Linked DNA regions of Macaca fascicularis. The protein of the gene in region 1 interacts with the protein of each later gene in a pairwise test. Links are inferred from orthologs where the notes say so. Each region holds a gene or a part of one and is shown on either strand. Other genes may lie near its edges.

What was found. The genes of interacting proteins can lie anywhere in the genome.
Region 2: the proteins of AP3D1 (region 1) and VAMP7 interact in a two-hybrid assay, tested with the Homo sapiens proteins (2 studies listed by BioGRID and IntAct). The link is inferred for Macaca fascicularis from reciprocal best matches to the Homo sapiens genes AP3D1 and VAMP7.

Annotation. Positions count from the first base shown.
Region 1 is NC_088393.1:2,759,790-2,763,440, forward strand, and holds part of AP3D1 (AP-3 complex subunit delta-1), read right to left. Parts: coding exon 3,527-3,651; intron 2,334-3,526; coding exon 2,188-2,333; intron 1,714-2,187; coding exon 1,572-1,713; intron 1-1,571. UniProt on the Homo sapiens protein: Part of the AP-3 complex, an adaptor-related complex which is not clathrin-associated. The complex is associated with the Golgi region as well as more peripheral structures.
Region 2 is NC_088395.1:161,929,560-161,933,210, forward strand, and holds part of VAMP7 (vesicle-associated membrane protein 7), read left to right. Parts: intron 1-1,499; 5' UTR 1,500-1,508; coding exon 1,509-1,654; exon of another isoform or gene 1,655-1,670; coding exon of another isoform or gene 1,671-1,675; intron 1,676-3,651. UniProt on the Homo sapiens protein: Involved in the targeting and/or fusion of transport vesicles to their target membrane during transport of proteins from the early endosome to the lysosome. Required for heterotypic fusion of late endosomes with lysosomes and homotypic lysosomal fusion.

The DNA.
Region 1 (3,651 bases):
TGACCTGCCTGGGCTACCCAGCTACTGATGAGCAGCTCAGACGGGCTGGGGCTGCTGAGCTCGGGACAGGGTCTCCTGATTGCCAGGGCTGCCTGAAAGCACGGCCTGGAGGATGCAGGAGCACAAAGGCCCGCACGCAGCCCACCATGGGCATTCCCTCTGTCGGTGTAGGATGGAAGGAGAGGACTGCTGGAGGGGCTCCCCTCTCTGCACAGGTGAGCAGGGCGAGGTGGAGCCCCACACGGGGCACAGGGGCTGCATCTGCCTCGGGAGGATGGGGTCCAGGGCCTCCTTCACCTTCCCCAGCTTCTGGTCTGGGTGGGCTGCACGTGTCTGCAGTGTCTTACAGCAGCTATGGTAGGGTCAGGGAAGGGCCCCACACAGGCACCCACATGCCCCCAGCTGCAGGTAGGGTTAATGGAGTTCTCCTCAGGGGGGCTCCTGGATCTAGAGAAGCTGTCCCCCATGTCTTTTTTTTTTTGAAATGGAGTCTTGCTCTGTCACCCAGGCTGCAGGAGTACAATGGCATGATCTCACTGCAACCTTTGCCTCCCGGGTTCAAGCAATTCTTTTTTTTTTTTTTTTTTGAGACGGAGTCTCGCTCTGTCGCCCAGGCGGGAGTGCAGTGGCCAGATCTCAGCTCACTGTAAGCTCCGCCTCCCAGGTTTACACCATTCTCCTGCCTCAGCCTCCCGAGTAGCTGGGACTACAGGCGCCCGCCACCTTGCCTGGCTAATTTTTTTGTATTTTTTAGTAGAGACGGGGTTTCACCGTGCTAGCCAGGATGGTCTCAATCTCCTGACCTCGTGATCCGCCCGTCTCGGCCTCCCAAAGTGCTGGGATTACAGGCTTGAGCCACTGCGCCCGGCCGGTTCAAGCAATTCTATTGCCTCAGTCTCCTGAGTAGCTGGGATTACAGGTGCCCGCCACCGCACCCAGCTAATTTTTGTATTTTATTTTATTTTTTTGGAGATGGAGTCTCGCTCTGTCACCCAGGCTGGAGTGCAGTGGCGCGATCTCAGCTCACTGCAAGCTCTGCCTCCCGGGTTCATGCCATTCTCCTACCTCAGCCTCCCCAGTAGCTGGGGCTACAGGTACCCGCCACCACGCCCGGCTAATTTTTTGTATTTTTTGTAGAGACGGGGTTTCACTGAAACCAGGATGGTCTCGATCTCCTGACCTTGTGATTCGCCCGCCTCAGCCTCCCAAAGTGCAGGGATTACAGGCGTGAGCCACTGCACCCAGCCAATTTTTGTATTTTTCGTAGACACAGGGCTTCACTATGTTGGCCAGGATGGTCTTGATCTCTTGACCTCATGATATGTCCACCTTGGCCTCCCAAAATGCTGGGATTACAGGCATGAGGCACCACGCCTGACCAAGATGCTCCCCATTTCAGTGAAGCTCAATGAAACTCAACCATAACATGAAATACCCACTTGGGGCGTCCTGGAGGGCGGCGGTGCACAATCTTGAGCCAACAGAACCAAGCCCCGGACTCAGGAGCCTCAAAGACTCCCTGGGACAGGAGGGAGGAGGCGAAGGCCCACCAGGGGCACCCAACAGCTCACCCGAGCCAGCTCTTCCTCGTCTGCCTCGGACGGCCGGTGCTTGGGGCGCCGCTGCTCTTCCTCGTGGAAGACGGCCCTGGGCCTCTCGTCCTCTGACTCGCTGTCCGAGAGTGGCTCGTTGATCCAGGCGTCTAGGTCCAGGCTGTGCCAGACAGGAGGGTCACACAAGGCAGTGTGTGTGACTGAGCACGTGCCTGCAGGCGCCCACCCTGAGCAGGCTCACCACGTGCCTGGCCATGTGAGACCCCAAACAGTGGTGCCTGCTACCCACACAGGGCCAGCGAGGCAGGTGTCACTGCCCCTTAGAGAGCATGCAGAGACCCAGGAAGGCTACAGCAGGGTCACAGTGGGGCCCTCACGGCAGGTTCAGGCTGCCTCAGAGCTTGATGGCAAGGGTGGAGCAGGCCCACCTCCCAGGGAGCATCCCCAGGTTCCAGCCAGGTCCCAGAAGCAGAGAGAGCCCCGGTGAGTCCAGCGAGGGGCGCCCGCCCCAGGCCTCCAATCAGCCCCACACCCTCCTGGCTGTTGAGGGCTGCAATAGCCCCCTCTGTGCCTCCAGGCATCAGGCGACCACGTCAAGGCTGTGGTTGCAATGCCCCCACCCCCGTATCCTTACCCTTCAGGGACTGGAACCTTCTTCTGGGCCTTGGGGGCCACTGGGTTCAGCTCCCCAGCAAAGAGAGTGCTGACCTCCTCCGCCACGGGCACGTCCTTGGCCTGAAGCTTCTGGATATGCTTGACCAGCTGCAGGATGCAGGACGCCTGCGGGGGACGCAGGAGTCACCGCTGGCACCTGCCCGGAAGGCCATTTGGCCACCCTCAGGGACACTGGGTGGCTAAGCCCCTGGCACAGTGACATGCGGGCCCTCTGGCACAGCCAGGTACCCACAGAGAGCCCAGCCTTCATGCCATCTCCATTGTCATCCTTGACAAGCAGCGGCGGAAAAGACCAGTCCACAAACAGAACAGAGATGGGGGCACAACAGGGAGCTTTGCCCACTGCAGAAATGCCTCCCATAAGGCCTGTGCCCCGACACCAGAAGCACCACCTTGTTCGGCCCCTGCGGGCTCCCTGCCTCTGTGCTGGCTGCAACTCAGACACAGCCAGGCTGGGCAGCTCCAAGAGTGACCATGGGCCAAGGATCATGGCCAGCCCCCAGATAATGCCACTGCTCAGAGAAGCCCGGGGCCACACCCCATGCAGCCTTGACGCTGGGTCTCCTCAGCCACTGGATGGGCTGATGCCGCTCCCGATCTCTCTCACAGATGACCAGGCGCAATGTTTCACATCTGTAATCCTTGCACTTTGGGAGGCTGAGGTGGGAGGATCATCTGAGGTCAGGAGTTTGACCTGGCCAACAAGGTGAAACTCCGTCTTTACTAAAAATACAAAAATTAGCTGGGTGTGGTGGTGGGTGCCTGCAATCCCAGCTACTTGTGAGGCTGAGGCAGGAGAACTCCTTGAACCCAGGGGGCGGAGGTTGTCGTGAGCCGAGATCACGTCACTTCACTCCAGCCTGGGCAAAGGAGGGAAATTCCATCTCAAACAAAACAAAACAACAAACAGAAAAACAGAGACCTGGGAACTGGTGGGCACCAGCTGGCACAGGTGTACAGTCTGCTCAACCCAGAACCCACGTCACCTGCAGGGCACCAGAAAAAGCCACAGCCAGCCCCAGGCTCTCACACCTGCTGTCTCGCCGCCTGTGAAACAGGCTCTTCCTATGGCCAGGAGCAGCACCCCCACATACCCAGCACCCCAGAGACCTGCCCAGTCCCACTGACCTAAAGGTCCCACTGACTAACCCCAAACCCCAGCTGGCACAAGTGGCAACAAAGGAATCTCAGTGAGTGGCTTCAGAAGAGGAAGGGAGGCCCCGTCAACCTGGCCGCCACTAGACAGAAAGGCACTGAGGGCTCCCTGAGGCTTGGCCCAACGCCGAGTGCAGCCTTACCCGCTCCTGCACCTCCAGGTCTGCGCTCTGCACAAACTGGGGCAGCCGGTCCACCATGAGCTGGGTGACGGCCTGGGCGCCCTCTGCCTCCCCGGCCTGCTCCTTCTGCTGCAGGATGTTGGCGT
Region 2 (3,651 bases), on another chromosome or scaffold:
CCAACACTTTGGGAGGCCAAGGCAGGTGGATCTCTTGAGCCCAGGAGTTCAAGACCAGCCTGGGTGACATAGTGAAACCCTGTCTCTACAACAAAATACAAAAATAGCTGGGTATGGTGGCGCACACCTGTAGTCCCAGATACTACGAAGGCTGAGTTAGGAGGATCACTTGAGCCTGGGAAGTGGAGGCTGCAGTGAGCCGAGATTGTGCCACTGCACTCTTGCCTGGAGCTTGGGTGACAGAGCAAGATCCTGTCTCAAAAAAAAAGAAAAGAAACAGAACAGTAGGATCCACAGTTAGGGAGGCTTTAGGATCAAGGGAAATTAAAGTATAAGACAGCAATTTGGAAACTATAACTTGCTACCTATGTGTAAGGAGAATTCTAGAAAGAAGATGGTCGAGATCACAACCCTGAGGAACAACTTCAATTCAAGAGTAGGAATGAAACAGAGACCCCCAAGAGACATTCAGCCCAAGAGACAGATGAGCACCTTCTGCTCTGTGTGCTGTCCTTCCATGCTGGGATTGCAATAAGGAATCTGCATATTCCCTAGTCTCAAGCAGTTTGTAGTTTGCTGTTGTGTTTCACAAAGTATATTTGTGTGAATCACCTGCATCCAGACAGACTTGTGTTAAATACAGATTCCAGGGCCCTACCTCAGGCCTACGGAATCAGAATTTCAGGAAGTGATGCGAAGAGTTTGAATTTTTAGCAAGTGACTCATACTCTGCCACACAAGATGATTCGTATTCCCACTACAGTTTGAGAACCACTGGTATGTTGGGTGCTGAGCATGTTAACAAATAAGAGTAGGTTTAACAGTTAATCGAAGACTAGTAAAGCATTTGTTCATCTCTTTTTATGTTTACGTCATTAAATAAGAGAAGCTGGGCTTGTTAGGTGGGAAATAATAGCACATATTCATAGGCAGACTTAAGGAAAATAATCTTAAACTCATGCCATATTGTTTTAGTAATGTTTTGTTTATGAAGGGTCTTACCATTCCTTTCTTGTGGAAGCTTTGAGTTATTTTCACTTTGTTTCTATTATGGATAATGACTTTATACTGGCAGTGTACAGTAAAAGGATAAGATTATGGGCTCTAGAACCGTACTGCCTAGGTTTAAATTGCAGCTCCACACTTACTAGCTCTGTAATTTGGGGGAAATTATTTAAGTCATTTGTGCTTCAGTTTTCTCATCTATAATAGAAGTATCATAATAGTGTATAATCTCATTGAGTTGTGAGGACTAAATGGATTAATAATTATAAAGTACTTAAAATGGTACCTGGCACATAGATAGCAAAGGTACATAAAGATGTCTTCATTCTTTAATGTAGAATTAAAGCCTGCTGTTAAGTCTGTTGTTAAGTTTCATGTTATAGTACCTTGTTAGATATTATCTCCAGGTAGTATGTTGGCAAATGATAGTAAGTTACTTTTGAAAGATTATGTCAAATAAATATTCTAAATCTGTGTCTTTTTCCTTTTGATAGACTGAAGCCATGGCGATTCTTTTTGCTGTTGTTGCCAGGGGGACCACTATCCTTGCCAAACATGCTTGGTGTGGAGGAAACTTCCTGGAGGTGACAGAGCAGATTCTGGCCAAGATACCTTCAGAAAATAACAAACTAACATACTCACATGGCAAGTGAGTTCTGTTCTGCATGTGGTAAGGGATGAAAGAAGGGAATTCTGTTACTGTAATCAGAATGGTAGAAAAGCAGAAAACAAGCTTCTAGGTACATAATTTGAATAAGCTGACAGAATAGTAACCTTCAACAACTTAGAAAATATCTGGTTTTGTTACTTATAAATTTAACTTGTAATTATTTTATTCTGTTATTGAAGTGATATTGTTTTATTTTGAAGAAAGATATGGAAATGTTAAATATAAAAATGACTTTGCTCTAGAGCTGTGTGATATGTGAAATGATTCAGATAAGATAGATAATGTTCCTTTGTTCGTTCTTTCAGTAAATATTTACTGAGCGCTTAACTATTGCCAGGCACTTTGCTTGGTGCTGGGGATATAACAAGAAATGTAGTATTTGCCTCATAAGGGTTATAGTTTAATGAGGGAGGCAGTCAAATCCATGATGTCAAGGGTGGGAGGGTGGGAAGTAGTAGATAGGAGGATGGTATTCCAAGTAGAAGGAACAGCAGGTAGAGAAGTATGGAGGCATGAGATCATAGGGCGGGCATATTTAGGGAATTGCAGACTGTTCTCTGTGACTGGTGCCCAGGATGGTGAAAATAAAGCTAAAGAGAGATGGGTAGAAGAAAAGTCATGTAGAGCCTTGTAGGCCATATTAAGAGCTTGGACTTTACCCTGTGGGCAGTGGGAAGGCATTGAAGGTTTTCAGCCAGGATGTGACACAGTCAGGTTTTATTTATTTATTTATTTATTTAGAGACAGAGTCTCACTCTGTCACCCAGGCTGGAGTGCAGTGGTGTGGTCTTGGCTCACTGCAACCTCCATCTCCCAGGTTCAGATGATTCTCGTGCCTTAGCCTCCTGAGGAGCTGGGATTACAGGTGTGTACCACCACGCCCAGCTAATTTTTGTATTTTTAGTAGAGACGGGGTTTCACCATGTTGGCCAGGCTGGTCTCAAGCTCCTGACCTCAAGTGATTCACCTGCCTTGGCCTCTCAAAGTGTTGGGATTACAAGCGTGAGCCACCGCGCCTGGCCTTCAGTCAGTTTTTGCTTTAGAAAGATCACTCTGGTGACTGTTAGAGTGGCCATAGATGGGAAATCTTAGTAGTTAGTTTTAAAAAGTGCCTCAACCTTCCCCATTGGCACTTGAAAATCTTTTCTTACTTAACCCAGCCTTACTTCCTTAGTTCTTATCTCAGAATGAGGTCCTTATTACTTTCTATGGCTAACCCCTTATACAGTTTAAGGTCCACTCTAAGCTACTGTGAGAGAGACCCCCGAGATACAGTATTAATTTTAGTGAGATAGTCCAGAGATGAGTGGTTTGGGATGTTGGGGTGGCTCTGCCATTTCCAATTCCCTAATTCCCAAAGCGATTAGTGCTTTCCACCTCTGGCCAAGGCAGCTCCTTTGGTGCTTGTTATATCCCAGTGCTTGCCCAGTAATTTTAAAGGCAGGACCCAGAAGTGGCCTGATATTGTTGAGAAGTTTCTACTTACATCTTATTGTTCACTACACAGTCATGTAGCTAACATAGCTAGAAGGGAGGCCAGGAATTTTCTTCTGGCTATCCAGTCGTAGGCTCAACTAAAACTCTGTTACTCTGGAGGAAGTTATAGGATATCAGGGGATGACTTGCAGTCTTCCAGTCTGCTCTTCTGGCCACCCAGATATTTCAGTGAACCTTTCTTCCCAAACATAGAATACGCCTCTTCTCTGAGAAAGGTAGCTCAAAAGACCTAGTCACTGTGTTTGGCTCCAAGTCCAGCATGTCTAGGTGGTACACAGTCCTCTCCATCAGGCCCTGGTGTGGCTCCTGTGGTCTACTGACCATAAACTAAAAGATAAGTCATATGTTTTCCCTGCTTTCCCAGCCTAACCCAGTAGACAACGGTTCTGCTTTCTTGGAGGAACTCCCTCACCTTTTTTCCCTGACTCCTGGCTTTGTTCTACAAGAAGTTCTTCCTTTCTGGCCACATCCAAAATGGG